Linked DNA regions of Diceros bicornis minor. The protein of the gene in region 3 binds, or shares a complex with, the protein of the main gene of each other region. Links are inferred from orthologs where the notes say so. Each region holds a gene or a part of one and is shown on either strand. Other genes may lie near its edges. The genes, in order: TADA2A, KAT14, DR1 and MBIP.

The links.
Region 1: DR1 (region 3) and TADA2A share a complex: the UniProt entries of both Homo sapiens proteins name them as parts of the ADA2A-containing complex. The link is inferred for Diceros bicornis minor from reciprocal best matches to the Homo sapiens genes DR1 and TADA2A.
Region 2: DR1 (region 3) and KAT14 share a complex: the UniProt entries of both Homo sapiens proteins name them as parts of the ADA2A-containing complex. The link is inferred for Diceros bicornis minor from reciprocal best matches to the Homo sapiens genes DR1 and KAT14.
Region 4: DR1 (region 3) and MBIP share a complex: the UniProt entries of both Homo sapiens proteins name them as parts of the ADA2A-containing complex. The link is inferred for Diceros bicornis minor from reciprocal best matches to the Homo sapiens genes DR1 and MBIP.

The regions. Positions count from the first base shown.
Region 1 is NC_080757.1:25,286,681-25,294,243, reverse strand, and holds the start of TADA2A (transcriptional adapter 2-alpha), read left to right. Parts: upstream 1-4,543; 5' UTR 4,544-4,590; intron 4,591-6,926; exon of another isoform or gene 6,927-7,038; 5' UTR 7,039-7,139; coding exon 7,140-7,164; intron 7,165-7,563. Other genes in the region: ACACA (acetyl-CoA carboxylase 1), read right to left, coding at 1,946-1,977. UniProt on the Homo sapiens protein: Component of the ATAC complex, a complex with histone acetyltransferase activity on histones H3 and H4. Required for the function of some acidic activation domains, which activate transcription from a distant site. Binds double-stranded DNA.
Region 2 is NC_080758.1:44,871,721-44,879,579, reverse strand, and holds the start of KAT14 (cysteine-rich protein 2-binding protein), read right to left. Parts: upstream 3,021-7,859; 5' UTR 3,020-3,020; coding exon 2,761-3,019; intron 1-2,760. Other genes in the region: protein PET117 homolog, mitochondrial, read right to left, coding at 3,334-3,483, 6,780-6,875. UniProt on the Homo sapiens protein: Component of the ATAC complex, a complex with histone acetyltransferase activity on histones H3 and H4. May function as a scaffold for the ATAC complex to promote ATAC complex stability. Has also weak histone acetyltransferase activity toward histone H4.
Region 3 is NC_080743.1:29,476,384-29,483,849, forward strand, and holds the start of DR1 (protein Dr1), read left to right. Parts: upstream 1-4,465; 5' UTR 4,466-5,178; coding exon 5,179-5,398; intron 5,399-7,466. UniProt on the Homo sapiens protein: The association of the DR1/DRAP1 heterodimer with TBP results in a functional repression of both activated and basal transcription of class II genes.
Region 4 is NC_080744.1:13,267,981-13,275,146, forward strand, and holds the start of MBIP (MAP3K12-binding inhibitory protein 1), read left to right. Parts: upstream 1-4,148; 5' UTR 4,149-4,181; coding exon 4,182-4,310; intron 4,311-7,166. UniProt on the Homo sapiens protein: Inhibits the MAP3K12 activity to induce the activation of the JNK/SAPK pathway. Component of the ATAC complex, a complex with histone acetyltransferase activity on histones H3 and H4.

The DNA.
Region 1 (7,563 bases), on a different chromosome or scaffold from region 3:
TGGTGACTCATTAGATAGATATCTTGCATTTTGTGTAGATCAAAAAGAAGTCAGTGAGGTGAGGAAGGGGCAGAAGAGATGGGTAGCAGAGGCCTGGAGTCATGAAAACTCTGTTTAATGGCCATGGCATTATGAAAATCCTGACACCTGCTAACTCTTCAGTTTTAAATAGTCAGTGGCAGTTTACTAGTTACATTTGGACAGATCTTGGTTTAATTATGGCTGTGCTACTTAGTAACTGAATGACTTGGGGCAAGTGGTTTTACCTCTCTGAGCCTCGTTTTTCCTCATCTGTAAAGTGGGATGCAGTAGGGCCCTTTAGCAGAAATTGTTTTTCCCTTCTGTTCACCTTTGAGATCTTTAGGGCCTTCTTACATAGAAGCACCCTAGACAGGCCACCGTGTGGAGAAATGGCTATATGTAGACCTTACATTTCTTCAAGTAGATTAGCAGAAGTGCTTCAACTCTTCCTCTGCAGACTGGTCATAGGTGGGGTGGATTAAATTAAATAAGCAGTCTAAGAACATTCGGAAGGAAAAGGATTGATTCTCTAACTTCTTTGACTAGGGTGGCCACAAAGGGAGAAAGATGGGGTGGGGTACAGTAAGCGGGGAAGGAAGGAGGAGGGCAATGCTCCTGAATGCAAGAGGCATTAGCAGAGGCTGAGGAAACGAACCAATCCTCAGCTGGCTGTGGGGGAGCCAGGGCTTCTGTGAAAGTGCCTTAGTGTGTGAACTCAAAGAGCTGAGAGCTAAGAGCTCAAACCCTTGAGGCTCAGGCCTTTTGGGGAGTGAAGCCGTCTCTACTGAGTGGGTCACAGGAAAACTCCTTGCCTTGAAAAGCCCCTGTAAATGGCAAAGGGCCCTGCTCCAGGACCTAAATCTCTGGCTAATTTACATTGACTGGGTATATCTCAGAATTTAAAGGGAAGGAAGCTGAAACCTAGAAGGCATAGCTGGACTTTCAGACTTTCTGTTTTTATCTATTTGTACACCAAACTACAAAGTGCCACCTCAGTTAACAGGAAAAATAAATATTAGATGAGATAAAGTTTATAAAGTCTTTCAGCATTCAAGACATGGTAAGTAACTAGAAATGGCAGAGAATCATTTCAATAGGGAGGAGGCTCAGAAACCGCACTTCTGATTCTAACCACAGCAGCTTAGTAGTTGAAGAGGAACTGTTGGGATATTTTGGACTCAGTCAACGGCAGCCACGTTACAGAGCCTGACAGTAGGATACAGTTTTCCTTGTTGGGTTTTCAGTTCAAAAGTCAACCTTCTCAGTTAGTTAAGAATGGAAGGGCTTGGAGGATGCGCCATTAGTCTGTCCTGAAAGTCAGTCTTCAAAAATATTTGTCCAACCTGGACTGATCTTGGATATTATTAATGTAAATTTCTGTCTTAAAGAGGACAAAAGGTGTTTTTTCAGGTTCCTTCACAGACATGGTTAGTGAGGGGAGCAACAAGGCACTCAGTCATCTCTGTTATGACAGGTTAAACACAGGGTGCACCGGAAGCATGTAATAGGGCTACTTAACCCAGACTTGGGAGGGTCAGGAGCAATGTTCCCGAGGAAGTGATGTCTAAGCTGAAGGGGAGGTACAGTGGCAAAGGAAGCTTGGAAATAACAGAGTGTATAAGTGGAAACAGAGATACTTCCGTCTGGCTGGAGAATGAAGTGTAAGACAGGGCAGTGATGATGAAGAAACAGGGAGATGCTAGACCCTGAAGGGCCTTCTACAAAGAGCGACCATGCAACTTATTGTACAAACTGAGACACTTCTGAGAGTGAAATAAGACAATATTACTAATTATATGGAGACAACAGGAGTAAAACAGAACTGTCCTGAGCAAACTGGGACTTATGGTCACCTGACTTGTAAGTCACGTTCAGGTGCTTAAACCTCCAGTGAAAGCATAGATCGGATATCTTCTCTTTTTACCTTATACATTTTGCCTGAGTGACTTCATCCATACCTTTGCCTTTACTTGTTCGTTTCACAAATATTCGTCCAGGATGAACTTCTGGGCACTGAGGTTACAAAGAAGAAAAGACAGTGTCTGTCCTCAAGCTTTGTCTAAAGAAGACACACATCCAAAGAAACAATTCTAATACAGTTATACAACTTTAGCCCTGGCCTCTCCTCTGAGCTCTCAACTCCCATATGCCATTTCCACTTGGGCTGCAAAACACAGATCCAAAACAGAACTTTTAATTTCTCCTCCAAAACTGTTCTTCCTTCAGCTGGTCCTTCACTTTCCCTTTAACTGGTCTTATAATTAATGCCACTATCTACTACATTGTTAAGGTGAAAACCCAGAAAAGCACTGGGTTATCCTTCTTCTCACTCCACATTTTAATTTCCCACATCTTTCTTAAGCACAATGACTAAATTGGGGCCTAGAATTCTGAGGGCCTAACATCAATTGAAGAGGAAGGGTAATTTCCAGGTGCTTAAAGGCTACATTTTTAATGAATAGATTCCAGTATTATGTGAGGTTGTTTTTTCCACAATAGTACAACACTGATGACTCATATTCAGTTTGCTGACAATCGTGACGTCCAGATCTGGATATATGCCCTAGTCAGGCTTGAAAATTTTCAGTTTAGATGAGAAAGACATGAAGATATCCTAAGTGTTTGACCCTATTTCTTCTTTGTGGAGGTGAGAGTGGTTGTAAAGATGTACGTGAAACACCAATGTTAATAAACAATCTGTTGAACTGCTGTGTAAAAGGACAATTTATGCTTTAAAGGGCAATTTTAATGTTTCTACCATTTATTCTCTACACAGCTGCCAGAATGATCCTTTTAAAACAAATCTGATTACGCCTTTCCTCTCCACCCTTCCATGGTAGTCTATCACATCCCAATAAAATCCAAAGTCCACCCATGGCTTACCAGACGATACATGATCTGGCTTCTGCCTGTTTCCCAACTTATTTCTCTAATTTGCTGTGCTCTAGCCACACTGGTCTCCTTGCTACTTCTCCAACATGTCAAGCAAGTCTCTATCCCAGGGCCATTGCAATTGCTGTTTCTCTTCTAGAATAGTTTTCCTCTAGAAATCCACGTAGCTGCCTCTCTCATTTAATGATTAGATTTCTGCTTATGTGCCATTAAGGGGCCTTCCTTGTCCACTCCATCTAAAAGAGCACCCCACATCACTCTTACCCCTTTATCCTGATTTATTTTTTTCCATAAAACCTGCCAGATTACTGGGCATTATCTCTTATTTAGTAATATATTATGTGTATTGCTTTATTGTCAATCTCCCCCACTGTTATATGAGGCAGAGACTTTGTTTTGTTTACTGCTGAATTCCCAGCACCTAGAACAATGTCTGCTCATTAAATATTTGTTGAATGAATGAATAAACAGATTTTCAGGATATATCAAATGTAAAACTACTCCGTATTTATTGACATGATGCATAGGAAAATTTCTGGAAGAGTGTATACCAAAATGTTAACTGTTTATTTAACATGGTGGGAGCTGGTTTTCACATTATTTTTGCTCATGTGAATTTTCTGATTTTTTCTTTAGAATGAACTTGTATTACTCATATACTAAAAAATGAATAAAGAGGCCACACAGGCAGAATGTGTAAATGAATTCTAAAAGACATTGGGCAAATTTATGCAAGACAGAATTCTAAACAGATGTAACAGCATAATGGTTAAGATAAACCACAGTTTGAATCACCTTCCTCAACACTTTCTGGCAGTATGATCCCAAATTATTTAAAAGCCAGAGTCTAAATATCTTCACTTGGAAAATGGGGATAATAATAGTGTCTACCTCATAAGGTTGTTTTTGAAGATTAAATGAGACCATGTATACAACCTCCTTTGAACAATGCCAGGCATGCAATAAATACTCGACAAATGGTAGCTATTATAATAATTAGTAGTAGTAATAAGAGATGTTGGGACATACCTAGCCCTCAAGATTGACATCAGAGTGGCCCACCACATCCTCTCATCATTGCGCCTCAATCTGGGCCTCTGAAGCCCAAAGAGGGGATGGTTCTTTCCAAAGGAGGTAATTGCGACGTTCCAGGAGCATCTGAATAAAACGTACCCTGTTTACCCTTAAACCATTCAGTCAGTCTGGTTAATCCATGGGCAGCACTGCAAGACCTGGACTGGAGAGGCGGCCACTGCTCGCCGTCCTTGGGCCCAGTCCCTCAGCCTCAATTTCCTTTGCTGCAACAGGGGTGGGGGGTGGGAATGTTAAAAACACAAAAGCAGGACAGTACCGGCCCGCTCCACCTCACCGCCCTCTGGAGGGGATCAAACGGCACCACGCACCGGCAAACGTCTGGCGACCGGCAACGCGCCTCACGGGAAAACTGATAACTGGTCGGACTCAAGGGTTAGGCCAGCTGCTCAGCCCCATCCTCCCAGGCCTCTGCGGGAGGACAGCGACGGGCACGCGGCGAGGGCCCGGACAGGGGCTGAGGGGGCGGCGGCAGGCGCGCGGCACGCGGCGCGCTCGCGCCTGCGCCGCTCGGGAGCGAGCACGCAGCCCCAGGGGCGCGCGCGGCTGGCGGCTCCACGGCGCGGAGGAGGGGGACGCGGCGAGGTGAGGCACGAGGCACTGTAGGGCGGGCGGTGGCGGGTGCGAGCCCCTTTAGGGGGACGAGGGGGAGGCGGGGACCGCGAGGTGCGGCGCGGGAGGGGCGCTGCGGGTTCCGGTGGCCGGAGAGACGCGGGGGGTGTGGAGGCGGCAGGCGCCAGCCACGCCGGCTGTGGGGGAGGGCGGTGCGGGACTCCGCATGACCTCTTGGGCCCCGCCCCGCGGCGAGCCTGTCGCGTCCCGCCCTCTGGGCGGCCCCGCAGGAGCCCAGCCTCGGTATTCCTGTCTGTGCAATGGGGCGCGTAGCTGCGCTGGTAACTGCCACGGTGTGTCCTGCCCCTGACCCATGTTTCCCATTGAGTTTTCAAGTAGGCCTTCCAAAGTAAATATTTCAGCTCCGTTTCAGAGCTGAGGCTGTCTGAGGCTCAGGTAAAATGGCTTGGCCGAGAATATACAGCTAATAAGGAACGCAGTGAGGATTTGAACCTTGTCTGCAAAACTCCAAAGCCTACACCTGTCCTTTGCACCACACTGAGTGCTGTTCTTCACAGTACCTTCCTTCCTCCTCCCACTAACTTCTTTGAATGTGGCAAATGTTAATTTGGAGCTAGCACCCGTTCTTTCATGGATGTTAGTGTCAGAAATGGCTCAGGAGAAGAAATGAGAGGAAAACAGAAGGTTCTGCTCGTTGCAATATTGTGCTTATGACATGGAGTGTTTACCAGACTGTGTCTACATCCTTTACTTGAAATTTCTATTAACCTGTTGAAACAGCACTGCTGTTCCCTACCTGTAAGACGTTGTGCAAGTATCATTCTTTCAGAGCATCCTTTCCTTCTTTGAAAAAGCAGCATGCCTCAGAAGGTTGTGAGGATTCAAAGAGAGAATCCACATAGAGTGGTACCACAGTATGTGGCATGTGAGAAAAGTTCAATAAATGTTGGCCATTATTTTATTATACTGAGCGCATAATACCCCGTGCTAAACTCATTTTTCTTCAAAGACTAACTTTTCCTGGGACTAGAGCAGAGGGAGAACCATCCCACTCCAGCCTACCCCCAAAAAAGACCAGTTCATTGACAGCCATGTTATTTGAGTGTTGCGTACGCTTAGTGATGAATTATTCCCCAAGCTAAAAATATCAGATGAAAGAAGTCACTCCAGGAGAACTAAAGATGAATTAAACTTTTATAGGACTAACATTTGCCCATCACATTTGTGTTTATTGAGTTCTTCCTCTGTGCTTGGTACTTTAAGGCATACAAATTTGTACTGGATGTAGTCCCTGCTTTCATTTAGTCTAAAAATGGGGGAAATTCAGAATTTCAGCATTCAGAAATAATCCTCAGAAAGTAGAATGTGAAAAATGCCAGAAAAGAGATAGATGAAAAGCTATGGGAGTTTAGAAGAAGGAAGGATGTTTTCTTGGCTTAGTGTGAAATATGATTTCATTTCTGCCTTCAAGAAGATCTTTGTAGGGGCCGGCCCGGTGGCGCAAGCGGTTAAGTGTGCGTGCTCTGCTGCAGCGGCCCGGGGTTTGCGGGCCGGATCCCGGGCACGCACCAACGCACCGCTTGTTGAGCCATGCTGCGGTGGCGTCCCATATAAAGTAGAGGAAGATGGGCGTGAATGTTAGTCCAGGGCCAGTCTTCCTCAGCAAAAAAAGAGGAGGATTGGCAGATGTTAGCTCAGGGCTGATCTTCCTCACAAAACAACAAAAAAAAGATCATTGTACATTGTACATACCTATTAAATTTTGTTCAGAGAGTAAATTAGTGAACAAGTGTATGTCATAACAGATAGAATTCCTTGGTTTCTAGTAACAGAAACTCATTCATGTTGAAGTATTATTGGAAAGAGAAATGAGGGGAAAAAACTAAACAGTTGAGCCACCCTTGGAGATGAGGATCTGAACAGCCAGAACTCATGGACCAAATTCTTTGACTAGTGAATGACTGAGCTTCAACTGCCTTCTGTCCTTATATGTCTTACTCAGGATTCAGATTTCTGTAAGAAGAGATCTGGTTGCTTTAGCTGCTCTGGGGGCAGGGGATGGAGTATTATGATTGGCAACCCCGCCAGAACCATATGAAATGTGGGAAAGTCAGTTTCTCAAAGGAAAGAGGGCTAAGCGGAGAAGTGATGCTGGGCAGAGAATACCAATAGTTGTTTATTGGAGGTACGTAGCCTTTATAGAGGGCTTACTATGGGCCAGGCACTATGGTATATTATTTATGTGGATTTTGATATTTAATTGTCACAACAACTCCAGGAGGTAGATGCTATTATATCATACCCATTTTACAGAGGAGGAAACGGGCTTTATCTATAGAATGATTTGCTTAGCATTATAAAGCTAGGATGTGGTAGAATTGAGTATGTTGCCTTATCTTCTCTTTATCTTGTCCCTTTGAATTATTTCCTGATCCATGTGCCACTTTTGTTTGTTCATAGGGGTCATCAAGCTTTGGTGTATGTGTTGGCCATTTCTGAAATTTCCTTGAAGGAGCGCTGCATTGAGGAAGATCAAAGCAGCAGTTTTTGCCAATTAGGGCATGGACCGTTTGGGTTCCTTTAGCAGTAAGTACTGTGGGAACAAGTCCCAGGTGAATATTAATAGCAAACTGAAATGGAAGCTGATCAGAGAAGAAAAATAAGCACTTTGAAGTTCAAGCTCTGTGAATCTGATCCTAAAGGATTAAAAGTATCAAATCAAAATAAAATCAACCGATACTTATTGATTGCCCGCTGAACACATGACACAAACATATCACCCTAGGTCTTATAAGAAAACTAAGCTCAGATGGACCAGGCATAGTATGATTAACCTGCAGTTAGACTTAAAAAAACAGTTGGATTTCTCATTAGAACCAATAACATATTTCAGATGCCTTGATAGGAAAGAGTCAGTGGTAGAATAAAGGAAGTGCCACCCTGCCTTTTTAGATGGAACTTGGGTTCTAAGAGTAAACCACAGTG
Region 2 (7,859 bases), on a different chromosome or scaffold from region 3:
GAAAGTGGACCATGTGCTATCGCCACTCACAAAAATTAACTCAAAATGGATCAAAGACCTGAAGGTGAGACCTGAAACTATAAAACTCATAGAAGAAAATATAGGCAACACACTATTTGACATTGGGTTTAAAGGAATCTTTTCGGATGACATGCCTACCCAGACTAGGGAAACTAAAGAAAAAATAAACAAGTGGGACTTTATCAGACTAAAGAGCTTTTATAAGACAAATGAAACCAGAATCAAGATGAACAAACAACCAACCAGCTGGGAGAGAATATTTGCAAAACATACATCTGACAAGGGGTTGATCTCCATAATATATAAAGAACTCACACAACTGAACAACAAAATAACAAACAACCCGATCAAAAAATGGGCAGAGGAAATGAACAGACACTTCTCCAAGGAAGATATACAGATGGCCAATAGGCACATGAAAAGATGCTCAACATCACTAATCATCAGGGAAATGCAAATCAAAACAACACTAAGATACCACCTCACACCCGTTAGAATGGCTATAATCACCAAGACAAAAAACAACAAATGTTGGAGAGGATGTGGAGAAACAGGAACCCTCATACACAGCTGGTGGGAATGCAAATTGGTGCAGCCTCTATGGAAAACGGTATGGAGATTCCTCAAAGAATTAAAAATAGAGATGCCCTATGATCCAGCCATCCCACTACTGGGAATCTATCCAACGCACCTGAAATCAACAATCCAAAGAGGCTTATGCACCCCTATGTTCATTGCAGCATTATTCACCATAGCCAAGAAGTGGAAGCAACCTAAGTGTCCCTCGACTGACGATTGGATTAAGAAAATGTGGTATATATATACAATGGAATACTACTCGGCCATAAAAAAAGACAAAATCGTCCCATTTGCAACAACATGGATGGGCCTGGAGCGTATTATGTTAAGTGAACTAAGCCAGAAAGAGAAAGACAAACACTGTATGATCTCACTCATATGTGGAATATAAACCAACACATGGACAGAGAAAACTGGACTGTGGTTACCCGGGAAGTGGGGGTGGGGGGTGGGCACAAGGGGTGAAGGGAGTCATATATGGGGTGATGGACAAACAAAAATGTACAACCCAAAATTTCACAATGTTAGAAACCATTAAAATATCAAAAAAAAAAAAAAAAAAAAAATAGCTGAGCTCCCACTGTGCTAGGCAGTGGGCTAGGAACCAGGAATACTACACCCAAGACAGACATAGTACCTGCAAATTCTGTGAGGGCTACATACAGGGAAACAGGTAATCACAAGAGCACAGTGATTCTCCCTCCTCACTGTGCATCAGCATCACGCACAGTTTTTGTTTTAAACATGCCTGGACCTACCCCACACAAAATGAATCAATCTCTGAAAGTGAGGCCTGAGTCTCTGCTTTTTTTTTAAAGTTCCCAGGTGATGCTGACACTCTGGGAGACATGAAAACCACTGGAGTGGAATGTGATGTGTGCCATAGGGCAACGTGTGGGCACATAAAAGAGGTACCCAACACATATTAGGAAGAGAGCTAGAAAAAGTAGGGTCTACAGGGGACCCAAAGGATGACTAGAATTGGCCGGGTGAAGAGAGGCAATTGTGTGTATGGGGGGAGGGATGGAGGCTATAGAGATGCATAGCCCAGAGAGGAAATTAAAATGTGCAAAGTCCTCGGGATAAGAAATAATTGTTTGTGGTGAGAAAAAGCTCATCCTAACTGCAAAGTTCTGTTTATATGTGGGGATAGGAGGCTACTAAGGAGAGGCTGAAGAAGTTAGCAGGGGCCGATCATGAAGGACAGTTTAAAACGTACCCTGCGAGGACAAGGGGAAAGCCACTGAGATTTTCAGGCAGAACCCTGAATTAATAAGCAGAGACAGCTCGGAAGCAACAACTAGCTAATATGTAATAAAATCTAGGTTTGTTTTCTGTGAAAATGTTATCTATTAATAGTAACTATTAATCTGAATAGATGAATCCATCTTGAAAACATTTCCACGTAACAGAAAAGGACCCACTTCACAATTATATATAAAAATTTCTCTGATCTAGTTACCAATTCTATTACACAAAGTATTCCTCCAGTACATATGTCTTTATTAGTCTCTGCCTAATGGAAAAATCCTGTTTGGTAAGTCTCATGATGGCTGGCAAAGCATACTCCCTGAGAGCTAAGAAGCTGGCAGCTAAAAGATGGAGCTGAAACACTGAGGTGTCAAGGGGGTACGTAACTATGTGCCTCTCGAAGTAGACAAGGAGGCCAACAAGTAGGAAACAAGAACGGTCCTAGAAAAAGGGCACAAAACACTTTTAATCTGCTAATTCTGACCTCACTTCAGCATACAACAGCAGGAGTTTTCCACCTAAGTTAAATATTAACAGAGTAATTTTTGTGAACTTGACCTTTAATTCTACACTCGGCCTAGAATTTGGCCCCAAATCCATAACAACGTGATCTTGGAAGAAAAATGTGACTAAGTCTTTAAGTAACAGAGGATTTCCAACTTTCTAATTTTTATTGGATTACCATCAAGAATGTTAATTTAACAACATGATAGAGGTTGACAGTAATTTTTATTAGTACAAATGTGTCTATGTTTTATATAAATTTGTAATTATTCAACTAAACTAATAATAAATATAATAATTATCTTTTTACTTAGGTCTGTTTTACATTCACGTTTCTTTCACAGGTTAGAAAAACAAACCTGCACATAGGAACTGACAAATCAAAGGAAATGAGAAGCTCCTTACTGGCTGGTATCCATCTCTGGCACTTGTCACAGAAGTAGGCCAGCCGTTCCTCCATCCACGACACGTCTCCTTCGTCACTGTTGAGGGAGTCCCCACTCTGATCATGAGACAAGTCCACTGATGCCTGGTCCTCTGACTCAACAATCAGCAGAGTCTCCCCCTCCACCTCACCCTCCTCAAGTCCTTCTGAGGTAGATGTTCTAGTGGCTTCATCATCGTGCCGACTTATCAAACCACTCAGGTGGACGTTACTATCCATCCCTTCCTTCTCACAGGTGCAGAAGCGCTTCTCAGGAACAATCCTAAGCTCTGGACACCAAGCTTAAAGCGGCTTCTATCAGGATCACACAAACAGAAACTCTTCAGAAGAGTGTCTGCCCACTTCTTTACTCAGATATAGGAGACTTTTAAAGCAATCATTTAAAATATATGACCCATTGTCCTTTTTTTGATCAAGTTTAAAAAGACAGTGACAAAAACAAGGTTGAAATTTCTCTAAGCTGTTCTCCATCAACACACTCACACACACATTTAACGCTGTCTGTCCCATCGATTTTTCCCATTCATTTCAAGTCATGTTTTTTGAGATCCTTTTGCCAATACCATCTTCTCTCTTTCTGCTTCAAGTTGCTCAGTTAAAATAATCTGTTCTCCCAAAAGGCGAATGTTTTCTTTTTTCCGATTTTGTCTCTCAATGTCTCTGATCACTCCGTCACGAAGCCTCTAAAAACGTAAGCAACAGATTTCAGTAACACCCTGACCAGGTGGTTCCCATCCTTGTGCCATCCAAATCCAAACAACAGTGTTACCAAAATACACCTAAAACCTTCAGATTCCAAATACCCAGTTACTACTGTAACTTTCTGTATAAATGTAAAATGTAATAAAGAAACCATCAACTTAACTGGGTACTGTGCTATAGCGTTATTACTGAAATGACTTATCATATTTTAAGAAATTCCTGAACATTCAGTATAGAAAACTTAATGGGAAATAACAATTAAAAGAGAAAAAACTGCCACTATACTGAATTTTAAAAGTTTGATAGAGGATGCTTTAAAAACTTGATGAGATACTACATCAACTCTGAACTACTTTCCTGTTAGCAATTACCCTAGTTGAATAATAAACATCAAAGAAAAAAAACGATTACTAAAACTTGAACAAACTGTAAGGAAGCAAGAAAGTAAAAAAACTGGCGCCCCCCCAGAATGTAAAGAGAAAAAGTAAAAATTATTCAGAATTACTAATCAATTACATAAGAAGGAGAGAAGGGGAAAAAATAATGCTACTATCAGAGGAAAAAATAAAGGCCCGTCAATGGTAGTTACTTTGATAAGCACTAAAGACAGGCAGAAAATTCCAGAACGTGGACCTGGCACCTAAGATGAGACTTATTAAAGCATCAATCCAGTCATTACTAGTAATTAACACTTTATAGATTATAGGTCACAAAACACTCTATTAAGTTTTTAACAGTGGCCCTGTGAGGTAGAATTAATGGGAGTGGGGCTGGGGCATTTTTTTTAAATTATTATGTCTATTTAAAAACTCACCAAGTACCTACTTGCTGGACCTCCTCCAGGCCTAGAGCTTCATTTGCTATCATGGGGGAGTTGGGAAATTTAAGAGTCCGGGGACTGATAACACAGCTGAAAACCAACTTTCTTGAACCCTGTACCCTTTGCAAGATCTCCAGAGACAGAAATGGAGACACTCATTCCACTCCTCCCTCCCCATTTCTTCCTGTCCTGGGCTCCTTACACCATGACACACCTACAACACCCCAACGCACCCCCCCGCACAAAGTCCACACCCACTGTAATCACTGTTTCCACACCTGCCTCTGAGATCCTACCCTTCCTTTCTCAGACACTTTAGCACATGGCTTAGGATCTTGCTCTCCATCCATCATCTGCTATCTTCCTCCAAGTTTCAATGTCTTTGTGATTGCCTCGCACATCCCTCCTGGGACTTCCACTTAACTACCTTACTAACCGCCTCGCTTACAAACCACCAAGACCTCTTCACTATTACAACTCTAACACCTAGAACTCTGGCTCCTCCCGCAGTACCACTTGTTTTGCTGGGTTCCTGTGAGGATTAAAGATGATGTACATAGAGTACAGTACCTGGCATGTCGTAGACAGTCAAGAACAACAGGAAACAACAATCATTCTTTTATTTCTTGCTTCCTTGAAACTTCCAATATGTCAATGTTTTTTTGTGGTGAGGAAGATGGCCTTGAACTAACATCTGTGCCAATCTTCCTCTATTTTGTACGTGGAATGCCGCCACAGAATGGCTTGATGAGTGCTGTAGGTGCGCGCCTGGGATCTGAAGCCACAAACCCCGGGCCGCTGAAGCGGAGTGCCCCAAACCGAACCACTACGCCACTGGGCCAGCCCCTCAATCTTTTGTCCTACTCTTTCCCATTGCTGGGAAGTAAGCCCACCCACATGAACAACTGGATGTAAAGTAAACACACTATTCTGGTCAATCTTTTCTTCATCTCTAACTTCCAAATACCTAAATCCTCCTGTTGTTCCACTCTCTAACACAGTGGTTCTCAACCTGGGCTACATGTTAGAATCCCGTGAGTCAATTTTAAAACAAAGCTAAGCTGGATCCCCATGCCCTAGAGATGTTGTTTAATAGGTCTGGAGTAGGGCCCAGCCTCAGCTGCACTGTAAAAACTACCCAGGAATTGGGATGTGTAGCTAGGGTTCAGAACCAAGCTCTAACTCATCCCTAGCCCGTACCCTTTAAAAGTCCCTGCATTGGCTGACCTCAGAGCTATATCTGACATACTATCCTCCACTCCATCTCAAATTTTCTCAAGATCACAGTCTTTTCTTTCCTAGAGGAAGAAGTCTCCTGCCTCTATTCCAAATGCTACCCCCTTAGAACCTGTACTTTAATCCCAAATCTCTAATCTCTTCCATGCCCTTTCATCATTAGTCTCCCATTACGCCCTCCTCAAAATTTTTGTATCATTACAGGCTTCCTCTTTGATTTCCAAAGTCTGAACAGCGAGGACTAGACCTCATGTGCTTCACCTCTGTATACCAAGCACAGAAGACCGTCCAGTGCAAAAAAAACTGTTCACTATTGATTCATCCAGTCCATTACTTCCACCATTGGCAAACTAGGCTAAACCCCAATCCCTCACCAAGATGTTGAGACTTCACCCACGACCTAGTTGCTCCTTCTCACACTCAACACCCAGCACTGTTTTGAATCATTTAGTCTCAGGAGCAGCTGTGCTTCCTCATCTTTGTTTCCCAAAGTGCCTAGTGTGGTGCCTGACACACAGTGACCAGTCCTTAAATGTTTGCCAATTGAATAAGAAAGAAAATGTGAACTGAGAAATACAGAACGGACGGTCAGTCCACTGATCGGTAAGTCTCGGATATTTCCAGAAATAAAAGTACTGAAAAGAGAAAATTGGGAGGCTGGTCTCTCTAGTGTTCCCTGAATCTAGTTTCCATAGCAAAGTGTTCCTTAAAAAAAGAAAAGAAAAACCAAGTATCTCACCAAATTACCTTGGCCAAAAAAGCACGACGGCGAGAGCGGGGACGCCTTCTTTTTCATGGGATAAAACCTTTTTAACTTTTAAAGATATCAAAACCTAATCTTGGGCCTGGGGGTAGAGAGAGGCCGGTAACTCGCTGGGTGCACCCCAAAGAAACCCTTCCCCGCCTCTACTTTCCAGCGGCCCAAATGAGGTGCTGGAAGGTCTCTATCCCCGCAAGCTGCCTGCGACCTGAAAGCAGGGCCGCCGAGCACCCGCGGGCGTGCGTTGGCGGAGCCAGGTGACTTCGGCGCGGAGGGCCGGGCCCCCCGGGCCCCGAAGACGCACGCGGCCGCGGGCTGCAGCGCCCAGGGCTGAGCGGGCGGCGGCCGGGCCGCAGCGGGAAGGCGTGGAGAAGCCGAGCCGCGCCGCGAGGACCCGACAGGAGGAGAGGCCCGGGGCACCGCGCGGAGGGCCCGCGGAGAGACGGTCACGTGACACCGACCTGCTGGTCCTGCCGCTGCTTCAGATGCACGCCGGCCACGGTGGCCGCCGTCAGCACCACCGAGAGGCCCAGCACCGCCTTCGAGCTCCTCGACATCCCCCCGCCGGCGCCGCGACCTCCTCCCCCGCCCGAGGCGTAGGACCGCCGCCCTGCGCGCCGCCGCCGGTGCGGCAGCCTCGACTCCTCGAGCGCAGAGCCCCCGCCGCCGCGAGCGCCGCCCGCCGCCGCCAGACGCGAGCAATCGAGAGCCGAGCGGTGCCCCGGCTTCGCGGAAAGCGAGGCTTTGGTTGCGGCCCCCAGACAGGAGGGATCCCCTCCCCACCCTGCAGGCGGCCGGGTTAGAACTCCCAATTCAAATTCTAAAGAGCCCCGACCCAAAGCTGGCCCCAGCACCTTGCCGGGGTAGGGGGTTCCCTGCCTGAGCCACCTCATCTCCTCCCCGCCCCCCGCCCCCCGTCCCCAGCGGCGGGAGGCGTCCTGGGGGCCGGATTCCCGATGCGGTACCTTGCTGACCCCTCTCCCACGCGCGTCCCTTCTGAGCGCAGGGCTGACCCAGCTGCTCTGCTCAATACCAGCTGCACCAACGCAGCCCCCGTTGCCCCTGTGGCGGGGTAAGTGCCACCAGGAGATGGAGTTTTTGCTTCTTAAACGTGTAGACACGGTCACCTGCTTTCACCTTGGCGATCTGGGGTGGCTGGTCAGGGTCTGATTTTTCTTAAAATCGAAAACCCTTCTGGCTAAAGAGCATGCTAACGGGGCAGCAACACCTCCTTGCCTCCTGATAGGAAAAGCGCTGGTCACCGAGTTGCCCATGTAAATCCTTAAGAGATCACTTTTACTCCCTGGGAGCCTCAGGTCCCGCCGCGGTAGGAGAGGATTCCTGATAGCGCCGTTACTGGGAATGTGCGTGAGGGCATGAAGTAGTGCGTTGACAGTAGCGCAAAGTGCTGTGCAAGGCACGGAAAGACTTTGGCTTTCCAGTGAAGAGATATTTTCATTGTCATTCTTTCACACTAGAATTCACAGGGAACAGGGAGGTGACGTCAGCATCATGGCGGAGTGAGCTTTCCGTGAACTCTA
Region 3 (7,466 bases):
AGTGAAATAGTGAATATGAAAACTTCTAGTACAGCGTGTAATTCATAACAGGCACAGATTTGTTATCCTTTGGGCCTAACTTACTTTTCCTGCAGCACATCTTTCTACACCTCTTTATATACCCTATGATGAACAGAGCCACTCTAGGCTACTTAATTTCCCAATTCACGATATACTTTTGTGTTTCTTCTTCAGCTGCATACTCTTTCCTTCTTTATCAAATTTCTGCTCCATCTTCAAGCCTCAGTTAAAATGCTGAGTCCTCCCTAAAGCCCTCTGTACCTCACAATTGGTGTGTTAATCACTCCTTCCTCTGCACACTCTTCCTCCCTAAAGCCCTCTGTACCTCACAATTGGTGTGTTAATCACTCCTTCCTCTGCACACTCTTAGTTCCTATGTTATCCTGTATTTCATTTCAATCTGGTTTATATCCTGATTCTTCCAACAGATTGTAGGGTCCTTGAAAACAAGAAAGGTGTTGTATTCATCTTTATTTCTTCCGCATCATACTTAGGACAGCAGACACTCAGTTGCTGAATGAATGTGGGAATCAGATGCTGTCTGTCTTCTCTTTCTACTGCGTATAGGACATCACTTCCTTAAATGCCTACTGGGGCCTCAAACACAAACAGGTGCAAAAGGAAGCACATCTTCTCCTCTAAATAGCTCCCTTTCAATTTTGCTGTTTTGGACACTACCCTAATCCCTAATCCCAGTTTCTGAGGCTAAAAATCTTCTAACTGTATTTGACTAATCTGTTTCCTTGACTATCTAGGAGCCACACTATCATTTTTTTCCCCAACACTGTGTAATAGTTCTTGGAATCACCTTTCTTTTCACTTCCATTATTCCATTCCCAGGAGTAATAACCATCAGTGTAATGATTATTTTTTTTAACAGTGACCACCATTTATTTAGCATTTAAGTTCTGGGCTTTTTTTGTATACACTTTGTCATTTGATCTTTAAAACACCCCTATGAAGCAGGTATTTTTATCCTTATTCTATAGATGAGAAAAATCAAGACACAGCTTAAATACCCTGGTCGTTACAATTAGTTAAGCAGCAGAATGGGGATCAAACCCAGATCTGAAGCCAAAGCCCTTGAATTAACTGGGCTCTTTCAAGTTGAGAAGAACAAAACCAGGATTTTTGAAAAGTATTATGAAGATACACAGGAAGCAAAGCAGCACAGGAAACTGCTTCATGGAGGCCTACTGTCTCTTTCAAAAGCAGAATACACCAACACTCTAGCGATCCAGTTATTTTGTTGGGCTCTCTGACACCAGTACCTGAGGCCCTGAAGCTTCTCTCCTTGTTTCTGTTGCTCTTGTTATAACTAACTGACTGACTGACTTCTCTCTCCTCTCCCTCGCTCTGTCTTTTGGCTTCTATTACTTCATGACTTCTGCTGCCTCAAGTGTTTGGCTCTGTCACTTCTCTCTCACTACTGTACAACACAAATGCTTTACTTCAATTAAGGTGATCTCCTCACTGTTTACAGAACAATTTCTGTTTCCACAACCTTATGTTGTTACTTTGAACACAAATACTTTCTTCTCTTCTCTCCACCTATCAAAAGCCTATATTTCAAGGTTCCTTCATTACCTCTTCTCAATAGCTTCAAAGGATTCTTGAGTGATTACTGTGTGTTATGTCTTCCTGCTGACCCATGATGAACCCATAACATGAGCAAGAAATAAACCTTTTGAGATTTGGGGGTTATTTGTTCTTGCAACATAATCTAGCCTATCCTGACTGCTATACTAACTTCCAGGGGATTATTTAGCTTCTCCAAGCTTCAATTCCTTATCTGTAAAATGGAGATTAAAATAGAATCTATCAAATAAAGTTGCTCTGAGGATTAAATGAGATAATACAGGTAAAAGTACTTAGCATAGTGCTAATCACAAAAGAAGTATATAATAGATGCTAGTTTTTTTAAATTTGTATTATCACCAACTAGCAATTGGTGTGTTAGCAATGACAAATTAGCATAATGGAGAGTAGTATTTGCTTTTGTTAACTGTTAAGCTTCAAATTACAAATATTATAGATCAGTAATTTTAGCTGAAAACCTGGGCATCTTTGAATTAACACATTTTAAGATAATTACTGTAGAGTTAGCCTAACTCATAAGAAACAGCCCTATTACGTGTCTTTTCATATCATGAATTTTAGGATACCATGAAAAAAATGTTTCGCATATATGCACTCTCTCTAAAACGCTTAAAGCTTATTAAGGAGATGTTATCCTTGTTTTTAAAAGCCTATTTATAACAAGGATATATTGTACTATAAACAACTATTTAAATATGGGATCCAGGGGCCGGCCTGGTAGCACAGCCATTAGGTGCACACTCTGCTGCGGTGGCCCAGGGTTCGAGGGTTCAGATCCCGGGCACGCGCCAACATACCGCTTATAGAGCCATGCCGTGGCAGCATCCCATATAAAGTAGAGGAAGATGGGCATGGATGTTGGCCCAGGGCCAATCTTCCTCAGCAAAAAAAGAGGATTCGCATCAGCCATTAGCTCAGGGCTTCCTCACAAAAATAAATAAATAAAGGGATCCAGATTAGCATATTTCCTGATATATCACACTACTATTTATATTTCATTACATTTTCTCTCAGCCGTATTATGCATGGTTTATTATTGTTTGAAGACTGCCCAGACCTGATAAAGATGATAATAAATAAACACTAACACCTATATAATACTTCATAATGTTAAACGTACTTTTATATAGTCTCATTAGACTTTGAATCCTGTGAGTTATATAATACTTCCATTTCTAGTTGAAGAAAATGAGGCTCAGAGAGTGACCTGTCTAAAGTAACAAGAAACTGGGACTGAAACCTAGGTCTCCTGACCACACATTCCATGCTTACGCTACCAGAGAACCCTGTAGTGATAAACTATCACTGGAATAACAACTTAACACGTGTGGTCTACAGAACCACATATCATAAACCTATAAGTCTATATAGCACAAATGTCAGATAAAAAAGCAAAATTATCATTATAACACTTTTTCAGGAACGACAAGATTTGGGTCAGTGACAATGTGATAACTGGAGACATTTTTTGCTAGCTTTTTCAGACTGATAAACTTGGTAAGGCCAAGATAAATTTAGACAAATTTAAACCAACAGTAAACTGACTTACAAAAACATTTCATAAAAAGCCAACAACTGAGCCAACAGTTTCACATTCCTGTTTTGAAGAAAATTTTAAAAAACTGTTTCATCAAAGAAGTTTTGTTTTGATTAAACTTAGTAGCACTGAAATACAAGCGTCTACACTTCAGAAATTAAAGAACCCATCACTGTACTGGAGAAAATGCAAAATGGAAAAAAACGGTGTAATTAACTGAGGTCTCCTCGAGGTGCCACATCTAGGTTCTCAGACTGAAACAAAACGTTTTAAGAAAACATTTCAACAAGCCAGTTGCTGTTCCATGTATCAAGAACAATGTATCTGATTAACTAAAAAGTGCAAAAACGGACTTAAAGTGTATCTCGTTTACTTTTTAGTAACTGCAACACCCCACTATTTATAACACGACCCCTTCTTCCAAATGACACTTAGTTTTCAAAAATAATGCAATTTTTGTGAAGAACTTGACACGTTGATATTATTAGTCACCCTGGAGAGAAGCAAAAATCAGAGTTGCTTAAGACACAAACGTATTATTTTTCCCCCTCTCCAGAAGCCAACGTGCAATACAACATGAAAAATGACTAAGTCGCAACCTCATAACGTGGTTCATCGGACGCTACGTTATTTCCACTAAGTTGGATCTTATTTCTGGTTTCCGGTTTAGCCATTAGTAGTGACTGGAAGGGCAAGTCACTTCTCTGAATGTTTTTTTTCCCCATAAAACCAAAAAATAGGGGGAGGACCATAGAGAGCTTTGATCCCAATAACGCCTATTAGATACCCTCAAAAGCTTTTCCTCCAAATGATGCAGACACAAGCACAAGGGGTTCTGCTTTCCCCCGTCCCATTCCCGAGCCCAGGCCTCCTTCCTCTTCCTTCCAAGCCCAATTCGGGCTCCTTAAGAAACAGGAAAGAGTTCTTTTAACGAAATCCTGCGCTCTTTTGTCCTCAAACGTGGATGGGAGAAAGTTTCGAGGCCTCAGCCGGTTGAGACTCTACAGGCGATCTACCCTCGCCCGTCCACCCACCCACCGCACCCCGAGTCCGGCGCCGCAGCCCCAGAGCAAGCGCGTGCTCGGGGTTCTCCGGTACCGCGAGGCGCGCGCTCGCCCGGCTACGGTCCCTGTGAAGGGGTGGGATCCCGGGGCGCGTGCCGGGACGGCCGCAGGCGGAAGCTGCTGGCGGCGAAGACGGGCGGTTCCCGCCGGCGCGGGTGGGGGAAGGGCGGCAGTCAGACCCGGAAGTCGGTCTGGAACGGAGCGGGGGGAACACGGGGGGGGGGTGAGGCTTCCGGTAGCGCAAAGGGTGTCGGGAGGGGCTTCCAGCAAACCTTCTTCCCTGGCCTCTGGAGGGACCACCGTTGCCGCGGCCTCGGCTTCCACGATCTGCGTTCGGGCTAAACGGCCACAGCGGCCGCCGCTGCCGGGCGTCTTGTGCCTGGCTCTGTCCGTATTCGTTCCCGGGCGGCCGCCCCTGTTCCAGCAGCGGCCGCGGCCGACATGTTGTGAGGCGGCGGCGCTGGTGTCTGAAGGATGGTTTGGCCGAGGCGGCGGCAACGGCTGCTGGCGGCGGCGGCAGCGGGGGCTCCGGCTCTGTAGAGCCAGCCCGCTGGGTGTCCGCCTGGTACCGCGGCGAGGCCAGTGCCCCGGGACCGTGCCTGTGCTCGGGCGCCGTTGGGGACCGGTTAGGCGACAGCGCCCGCCCGTCTGAGGAGACACGAAGGTGGTTCCCCAGTGTTCAAATTTCCGGACCACCTTGCTTCCCCTCCCCGACCTGAGCAGTGCTGTCCCCGGAGTCCTCAGCCCCCGACTTTCCTCCCAGCCTCGCCCTAAATCTCTCACACACACGGGTGTTCCCCGCCCTCTCGAGCTCCTCCCCCGACCCCTTCATTTTCTGCACCCTCTTCTCGGCGCCCCCGGATCTCTCTCCAAGGGCGGCCTTTTGAAACATCTTCGTGGAGTAGTGGACCAGAGCTGGGGAGTTTTTAAAAGTCAGGGCGCGAGAGAGAAGATACGATGGCTTCCTCATCTGGCAACGATGATGACCTCACTATACCCAGAGCTGCTATCAATAAGATGATCAAAGAGACTCTCCCCAATGTCCGGGTGGCCAACGATGCCCGGGAGCTGGTGGTGAACTGCTGCACTGAATTCATTCACCTTATATCTTCTGAAGCCAATGAGATTTGCAACAAGTCGGAAAAGAAGACCATCTCCCCAGAGCATGTCATACAAGGTAAGTGGCGTAGTATGTGTGGGATTTTGTTTAAATGGGAGTCCGGGGACAGCCTGCTAGTCGCGTGACCCGTTCATGTCAAAGCCTTCATTCCTGTCCCCTGAGAAGTACTGGTAAATAGACAAGCCACGCGGGCGTGGAGGCAGCCGGTGCCTTAAGAAGATCCCTATGTAGTATTCTCGTGGTACTTTTCATCCAGCGAGGACAAGTAAGGATTGCAAGCATTTAGCAATCAGCTAACATCCCCCAAAGGTCAAGTATTAGTAGTGATCTCAATTTACAGGCAGGTAAGCCGAAGCAAGAAGAGTTTTGCCTGCTTGAAGGTGAACCTAGACATGACAACTGAGAAATTGCCTGCCTAAAGTGGAACCTAGATCATGACAACTGAGAAATGAACCCAGAAGTCTCCCTTGGAAAATTGAAATTCAGACAGGAACTTCAAGCACGAGTGGAGACAGCACCTCTTCCTCACCCGACCTTTTCGCCGATGTAGAGGAAATGAATTTTCTGAACACATGAGTAAAAAAATTCTTAATATGAATGTGTTCAACGTTGTAAAGTTTATTGATGTTGAATAAAGAGAGTATATTTTCTGTTTTAAAAATGGTTTAATAGTCCTACCGTTCATCAACAAGTTACCAAAGCACTCCAGTTCTGTTCTGTAGGAAAAGGGTAGAATGTTCTTTAATCTTTCTTTTTCTTTTATATAGCTTGCTTTGTTCTATGGAGATAAGTTTTTAAAGCTTGGATTGAAAGATTGTAAGAGATTTTTTTCATGGAACATTTTCCTGTCCCTTCCTGCTGCCATTCCCATTTAGATGTATCTGCTTAAGCTTTTATTGATGCTTTTATTGAACAGCACTTCTGAAAGTTTTAACAGTGCCCTCTGTCTTATCTTGGAAAGAATTTAGTCCAGTAATAGTCATTGGGGGGACTGTATTCTGATGGTTTGTTTCTGAGGTGGGGAGACATGTTTACTTGTCATAATGTTTTGGGAAGCGCTTAAATATACTCTTATGAAAAAGTTGCATTCAATTTGAGGTGATAAATTGCCTTTTATGATAATCCAATTAAAATTCTAACAATTTCTTGATTGCTTTTGAAGTCAGAAAAAAATCATGGTTAATTTTAATCATTTTGGTAAGCAGATGGTTGTCTACCATTTTATTTTTATAATTTAACTTTTTAAAAGGTGGCTTTGTGTTATTCTGAAATAGAGAACACATCTGTTCATGTTCACCGCATCCAATATTTTACTGTCAATATTGACAAAAGGATTAAATGATTCATTTTTGATCCTTGATGATGTGTGGAAGGTAGATTTAAAATATACTCTGCCATTTCCATTTCAGTACAGAGGGAGAAAAAAAATCCCTAGGAAAAAGCATATTTGATTTTAAAGTTAGTATTTTTTTCCTACTTGTTTGGTGTGCTGAATCTTGGTAAGTAAAATGAAAGCCAAGTTGTCTCTTTTTCTTCTTGTGTTTTTATTTTTACATTGCATGTGTGATTGTTGTCATGTCTTTCGCAAGATTATCCAACACGGATAGCTATAATTTTCTTTTACAGCTCATAAAAAAGAAAAAAGGTCTTTTATCAACATTGCCTTTCTAATGAAAATTGCAAAAGATTTCTAAAGGATCTGCTTGAACATTTGTTTATACCACAGAAGTGGGGATCGTTCCAAAAATCGAATAACATATTACAATCTGTCTTCTTGGGTAGAGTTTATTCTTTTCTAGGATATATTTAGATTTCTGATTGACATGATGGAATAAAAGTGCAGCTGTAGCAAGCAGTATGCTAAATAGCTCAACTTTGGAATATGCTAAATTCAGTTTAATGTATGAGTCAGAAAGTTACAGTGAAAGCATTTTCCTTTGTGTCCTGAAGATCATTTACATATTAATTTTAAAAAATCATGTATTGACCTGTTATAGTCTTATAAATTTACCTTTTTTTCTTGTAACATTGCTATTGTTAAGTGGATAAGGACAATTTTGTCCAAAATTCTCTCCAGTTAGGGGAATAGATTTTATATATTGAAAATCTCATTTGCTTAATCATT
Region 4 (7,166 bases), on a different chromosome or scaffold from region 3:
GTTGTGTCCTCAGAACTTGATTGTAGTGCTGAGCTCCTTGATAACAGAAAGTGGAACTCTGTGATCCATTGCATGACAACACAATTAGTCAATATTACTCCAACTTATTTGATCATGGAAACTTCTGTTGAAAGAAGCATCTTATAGGACTAGAATTCAGCAGAACAAACTTTGGGAAATGCTGGCTTAGCCATACTTCTCTATTCAGTCTATCCTCCTTGCACACATCAAGCACGTTCAAATTGCTGCTCACGTTTTATCTAAATTGAGAATCTGTACTCATCATTTAAGCCTCAATTCATGTTTTATATCAAGTATTTAGAGCTTTTCCTGACACTGAACCCAACACCTTCCCAAAGGAACTGATTGTTTGCTTTATACATACGTCTAATATGATCATTGTCACAATATAATCCTAGTTGTCTGTTTACATATATGCCTAGCCCACTAGAATTGGAGCTCTTTGAGAGAGAGTCCTTGTCTGATTCGTCTTTGTATCTCCAATGCTGATCAGAGTGTCTGGCATGTAGTAAGTACAATTAATTTGTATGGGTGTCATTCATGAGAATGGTCACAGAGGCTAGCTATATTTATTCATTAAGAAAACTTTGAGCATTTTGAATTTGCTATTCCAGAAGAGGATAAACAGACATGCTTCATTATTTGAAATGAACTGTTTATAGCATTCTTACTGTGGGTTACAGTTTCCCCTCAAGAGTAGAAACTTGTTTCTTTTTTTTTCCATTTCACAAATCTGTTCACCTTAGGCAAATAAATTCAGCTCAGCAAGCATGTACCGAGCAATTACTCTGTGCCAGGAACTTTGCTAAGCCTTAAGTACATGAACATGATACACATAAATGCTCATAGTTCAATGGGGAGGCAGATTCATAGTCAAATAAATTTCATTATCAATGTGATAAGTATTACAATGGAAGTATATACAAGTCGTAGGAGTAGTTTACCAGAGAAGATAAGCTCTTTATGAGAAGGACTGTGAGGAGACTTCCCAGGGATTTCTGAGTTGGAGTTGAGGAGGAATAGGAGTTTTCCAAGCAGACAAGAGGCAGGGGTGTAAATAAAAACATGTAGGCAAAAAACAGAAAAGCTTTGAAGAAGTAAAAGAAGTTTCAAGAGCATTAAGCACCAGAAACGAGGCAGAAAACGAGGCTGGAAATGTAGGCAAAGGCCAGATCATGAGAAGAGCCTTAGATGCCATTCTAAGGAACTTGGATTTATCCATCAGGTGATGGGGAGCCAGAGAAGGCAAATAACATTTATTTTTCCTTTTCTGCATTAGGAAAAATTTGTACTACCATACACTGAACAAGCATCTGTTGAGCACATATTATATCTCAGGCATTTTGCTGTGCACTGGATTATTTATAGGGTGTGCCTTTAAAGTTCTTCAAAACGGACATTTTTGTTGATAAGATAGATAGCCTAGATTTCATTTACAGTTTCTATCCTCCCAATTGATTCTTAGCATAAGCTTGCAGGACAGTATTTCTAACTCCGTTGCTAATGCCAAGACCAACACTTTGAATCATTTCTGCCAGGGAGCAGATTTTTCAGCAACCCACTTCATAAACTGTAATTAGTCTTCTATAAATGGCAACTTATTTCCTTTATTCCCTTTCTAAATTTCATAGCTTTCATCATATTTTTGTTATACATTACTATCTATATATTTCTATTTAAAGTTAGCCCAAGGAAATCCACATCTTTTCAGCCTACAAACTCGTCTATTTAAAATAAATAGGAGGGGCCGGCCCCGTGGCTTAGCGGTTGGGTGCGCGCGCTCCACTGCTGGTGGCCAGGGTTAGGATCCCGGGCGCGCACCGACACACCGCTTCTCTGGCCATGCTGGGGCTGCGTCCCACATACAGCAACTAGAAGGCTGTGCAACTGTGACATACAACTGTCTACTGGGGCTTTGGGAGAAATAAAAAAAAATAAAATAAATAGGAGAAAATAAGAAAAATTTCCAAAACGAAGGTAGTAGGTGTCAGAAAGGAGAAAGAAAGGTCCCTGGAAAGAAGAAATAATGCAGAAAGGAGTTAAATTCCAAGAATTATCTAATAACCAATACTAAGATATAAGTACAAGTCTGGATATTTAAACAGAATTACACAATTTATATACAAACCAAATGGCCATCAATTAGTTCTATATTAGGGGTTCAAGTCTATATTACGGGTTCAAGTAAAACTTGAAATTCCAAAATCAGTGATGGCAAAGAAAGGAAGGAGCAGTGCCTTATCAAAGATGGTAATAGACAAAGCATGTTCCCATGTTTCATACCAGAGTCATGAATATTTGAAAAATTCACACCCTAGTGGCCCGCAGATGGTATAGTGGTTACATTCATGCGTTCTGCTTCAGTGGGCTGGGGTTCAACGGTTCAGACCCTGGGCATGGACCTACTCACCACTCATCAAGCCATGCTGAGGTGGCATCCCACATAGATGAACTAGAAGGGCCTACAACTAGGATATACAAGTATGTACTGGGGCTTTGGGGAGAAAAAAGTAAAAGAGGCAGATGGGCAACAGATGTTAGCTCAAGGGCAATTTTCCTCAAAAAAGAAAAAAAAGGTTTTAAAACAAATCTTCACATCTGGGTGAAAATAAATGATCTGAAGCTGGTTGCTAATTTGTTACAAAACAAAAATTTCTAGTTACCCCATTACAATATTCTCCTCTAACAAGAGAACCAAAGGCAAAGAAAATATGCTAACATTGCTAAGAATTATGAATTTAGGTTAGCTATGGGGATGAGTGCGGTGAATAAGAAGGTTGCTCAATTTGGGGTTAGATATTGTGAAACCTTTTTCTGGATGCCTCTAGATGTAGGCTGGGTTATAAACTGTATATCTTGCTGTGGAACATGGGAACAGACAAGATTTCTCAAGATCCTGTCAAGCTTGGAGATCTTTGGAAATGAAAGCCTAATTAAGAGGCTCCCTAGGGACAGGTCAAAGACGTTCTTTTCTCCCTGCAGCCCTTATCCCAGTTCCTTGATGCCTTATTCCTCCCCTTTCACTCCGCCTACTCAAAAACTGGAGAATACCTTATGCAAATTTCCACCTTTGCTTCCTCTACTGCAACTGCATTAGACTATTAGAATTAAGAATTGTAAATCCCTCGTCCCTTATCTTTGAACTGATGATTTTTATTTATAAGTGTTTTTGAATAGAGCTTAACACTAAAAATTCTTCTACAACTTGTTTTTTCAATGGGACAAAATTTTTTTTTAATGTTAAGATTCTACAAGATTACAAAGTCCTTCAAATATCTTTTAATAAGGCTATCTGATAAATAATACTTCGTCAAATTTCAATTTGGATTTGTCTTCCTTACAATTTCAAAGATTGTATTGCATGCAATTACCTACTTGGGTTAAATTCCTGTTGGAATCATATTGACTGTTTCACTCCTTTGAAGCAGTTTTAGGGTGAGCGTCTCTACGCTATCACCCAGAGAATAGCAACTGATGCACGTTTTAAAACTGGACATAATTATTTTGCAGATTTAAAGTAATTAATGTCATTTCCTTGATAGTAAATGTGGCATAACAGAGCACTTGATTGTTCTTTTATATAGCCCCGTCCCTCGCATGAAAAATTAGTGACGTTAATTTGTGTAAGTTTTAAACAACCTTGTAGCAATGAAAACGTCCTATCCAATTATGACAATTCTGTATGAAAGAGTTCTTCAACGTTTAGAAATACGTCTGGGGACCGCCGCATCCCTGACCAGCGATTTTTCTCCATGCCACGCCAGAGCGCCATGTTAAAATTTCAACTTTTAATTTGGGGCTAAAACTGTAACATTTAGCTATAAGTTTCCTCTTACCAACACTTCTGAGCAACATCTAAGAGTCAAGGTAGGCTTCATGAAGCTAAACCTCAGCCGACCACGACTCCAACCACCATCCCAAATACTGCACCCAGCCTTGCACAGGTCCGCAATTCCTGCTCTCAGTCCTCCGCGTAACGCTATCGCTGCATCTGATTGGTGCACGTGCTGTCAATCACATAGAGAGGGTGGGTCCTCAAAGCTCCGCTCTCAGCGAGACGCTGTGTTTTTACGTCATCGCCGAGCGACGACAGCCGGAAAGGGAGGGGTTGGGGCTGTGAGCGCGTCTCTGTGGTGGCGGGGGTGGCCTGCGAAGGTGTCATGGCTGCGGCCACCGAGCTTAGTCGCCCTAGCATCGGTAACAGGAGCCTGGAGCGGAGCTGCAGCCCCAGCCTCTCCCAGGAGGTGCTCTGCGAAATCTTTCGCTCCCTGCATACCCTGGCCGGACAAGTGAGTGGTGGCCTGTGGGAGTAGGGGTATGGGAACCGTGCGGCCCCTCCCCGCTTTTTCCTCTGGCGGAGGACGGGGGCAGCGGAGGCCTGCCGGGTGTGGGACCCGCCGGAGAGGCTGCGGCCGGGGGAGGAAGGAGTCCAGGCCCGGACGCTTGCGGTCGGAGTGAGGAGGGCCGCACCGGCTTAGTTCAGGACCGGGGGCAGACTAGATTTCATTGCAACTCTTCTCCCCCAGAGTGAGTGAGGATAGTATAAGAGCAACCCGGCTCCAAGAGGAACAGGCTTGGAGAGAATCAGTGCGGAAAAGCTTCTCTGAGGGTTTGCGAGGCGTCTGGCGCTCAGGATCCCTTTTCCTCCAGTTCATTCGTTAGAAATGGATACGTTAGTGCCGCCTGAGATTGCTAGAAAAACCCTCTCTCCGCCTTGCTTGGGTGATTTGCTCTTATGAGTCACTTGGTTTATTTCTTTTTTCCTTCTGGCCATTGTGTGCAACTCTTACCCTTTCAAATGGGGAAAAAAATAAAAGGAATGAATCTAAAATACTTATAGCATGAAGTTGGATGAGTTATCCGTGGTTGATACTGTTCGCATCAGAACTGTTGTTTAGCTAGTTGTTTATCTATTAACTAGTTTAACTGGCTGATAAATAGCTTTTGCAGAAGTATCATAATAAAGTTGGGTTTAAATAAAAGTGCTCCTTACACTCTATTACAATCAAGTCACTATATATATATTATATATGTTTCATGATGTAAAATGCAAAACAAATTTTAAATGAGAAACAACCTGAAAATAAGTTTGTCAGCCTTTAAAGGAATTTTTTTCTCTTATATCTTAGACGGAAAATTTTTTAGCTGTAAAAGTTTGTATGGGTCTGGTACTAGTGCATGTAACAGACACAGCAGGCATTTGTGTCGAAGATATGGTAACTTTATGAAAATAGAGCATTTGTCTTATTTGAGAAAATTATTTTTAAAAGCCTTGGGTGGATGGAGAATCGATTTTTTAAAAGATTATTTCAGTAATTTTCAAAATCCTAATATGTTTGTCGTGACTTACAAAGAGCATTACTCTAAGTTAAACATTGGTGTAATGGAACGATTATTCATAGAATCTGATAAAAATTGTAACTTAAACTCAGTTGTTTGCCAAAGACTTACTACAAAAAAATTTTTTAAGGACTTGGGGACATTAATATTTCAGGCTTAAGACCCAAGACCTGTAAATGGTTTAAAAGTTTGAGAACTTTTTATGGCATGAAGATTGGAACTTGAAGGTTTATTTATATTCTAATGTCAGGATAAAAGAATTTCGTGCTCACCTATAATTTACAGAGGTTTTTTTCAGTGATGAGATATTTTTTAAAATAATGTTAAGAAATAATTTAAACATTTTGTTTAAAATATTTTGCATACTTAATTTTTAAAGCTCATTTAAAAATTTTAAACATTCAGATATTCTGTAGGTAGAAGTAGAAATGTGATTAAAGTTTATGTCACCTGCCAAAAATGTTTAGAGTAAATATTTGGCGAGTGTACGTGACATAGTGAACAGACCATCTATACGAGTGTCAAAAAAATAAGATTGTCTCATCGATTAAATGTTAACCATTTTGGTAATATTTTTTATGTATTGAGATTCATTGTTTAAAGATAAGAATGAAAGCCAGAGTACTAATAAAATTTCCTCTGGAGGAGATCCCTATTTCCTTTTGCAATGAGTTTAAAGGATTTTTTTAAAATGTATGTTGTAATATGCCTAAGTTCGTTTTGTATAGTATCATTGTATTATTAGCTCTCCTCAATAGGAAACATAAAGTTGAATGTTAAAAAGTATTTTCTATTCCAGGTTTCAAATTTACTGGTTTTGACCTTATGGCTTGCCTCTGGATGGCCATTTTACCAAGCTGAAGAATTACTTACTGTTAGCTTGGATTTTCGTATTAATTTAATAATGTTTTTACTGAAAATGCATATTTAAATAGTCCATATTGATGGCAGACTAATACATTTTTGAGTGAGTGGTTTACAGTTACAAGTTCTATAGGGTAAAAATGCATAGAATTCATATTACTAATAGAGAATTGTTGAATAAATAGTTGGATGCGTTGGGATTATTTTAATTTGTGACATTATTATGTGGCTTTCTTAAAAGACAAAGGATCTTTAATTGCACTTGAAGGCTTACATAATTCTGCTGAATTGAAATGAGAATATGATCCTAACGTTAAGATTTATTTTCTATGAGTTATTATTTTCTCTAGAAAATTTGATGCTTTGTTTTGGTTGAGGATTTGCCTGCATTATCCCCAAACTGTATTTATAAATTTGTTATAATCGACTATAGATCTCTTTGAAGACTGTAAAAGTATAATAATACTTTGCTTCCACACATAAGTTGTTGTCTAACAAAATCTTTATAGGTGTTAAATAATATAAATTAAGATTAATGTGGTAATCTTCATGTAAAACCTTAGTTAAATTAATATTAACTAATATTTGCCAGTGCAGCCTACACAAAACTTCCTGTTTCTTTATGCTTGTCTAGTATGGACTTCAGATGTTTCTGGTCTCACATTTGAAGGGTAGTAAATTTCTGTCAATTAGTATTCATTCAATATAGTGCATTTTTTTGGTAACTTTGGATCTCTTTTGTTCTTTGTATAGTGATTCATCCTTTTATTATAATCACAACTCACAAGATCTGTATTTGAACTAATGTAACACTTGTCTTTATTTTGTAGAAAACATGACTAATTTTTAATAAATGATTTCTGAAAAAATAACATAGTTGATTGTAATATGCAATATATCCTTATAGTATGCATAAACACATGTCCTAGAAAAGTTTATGG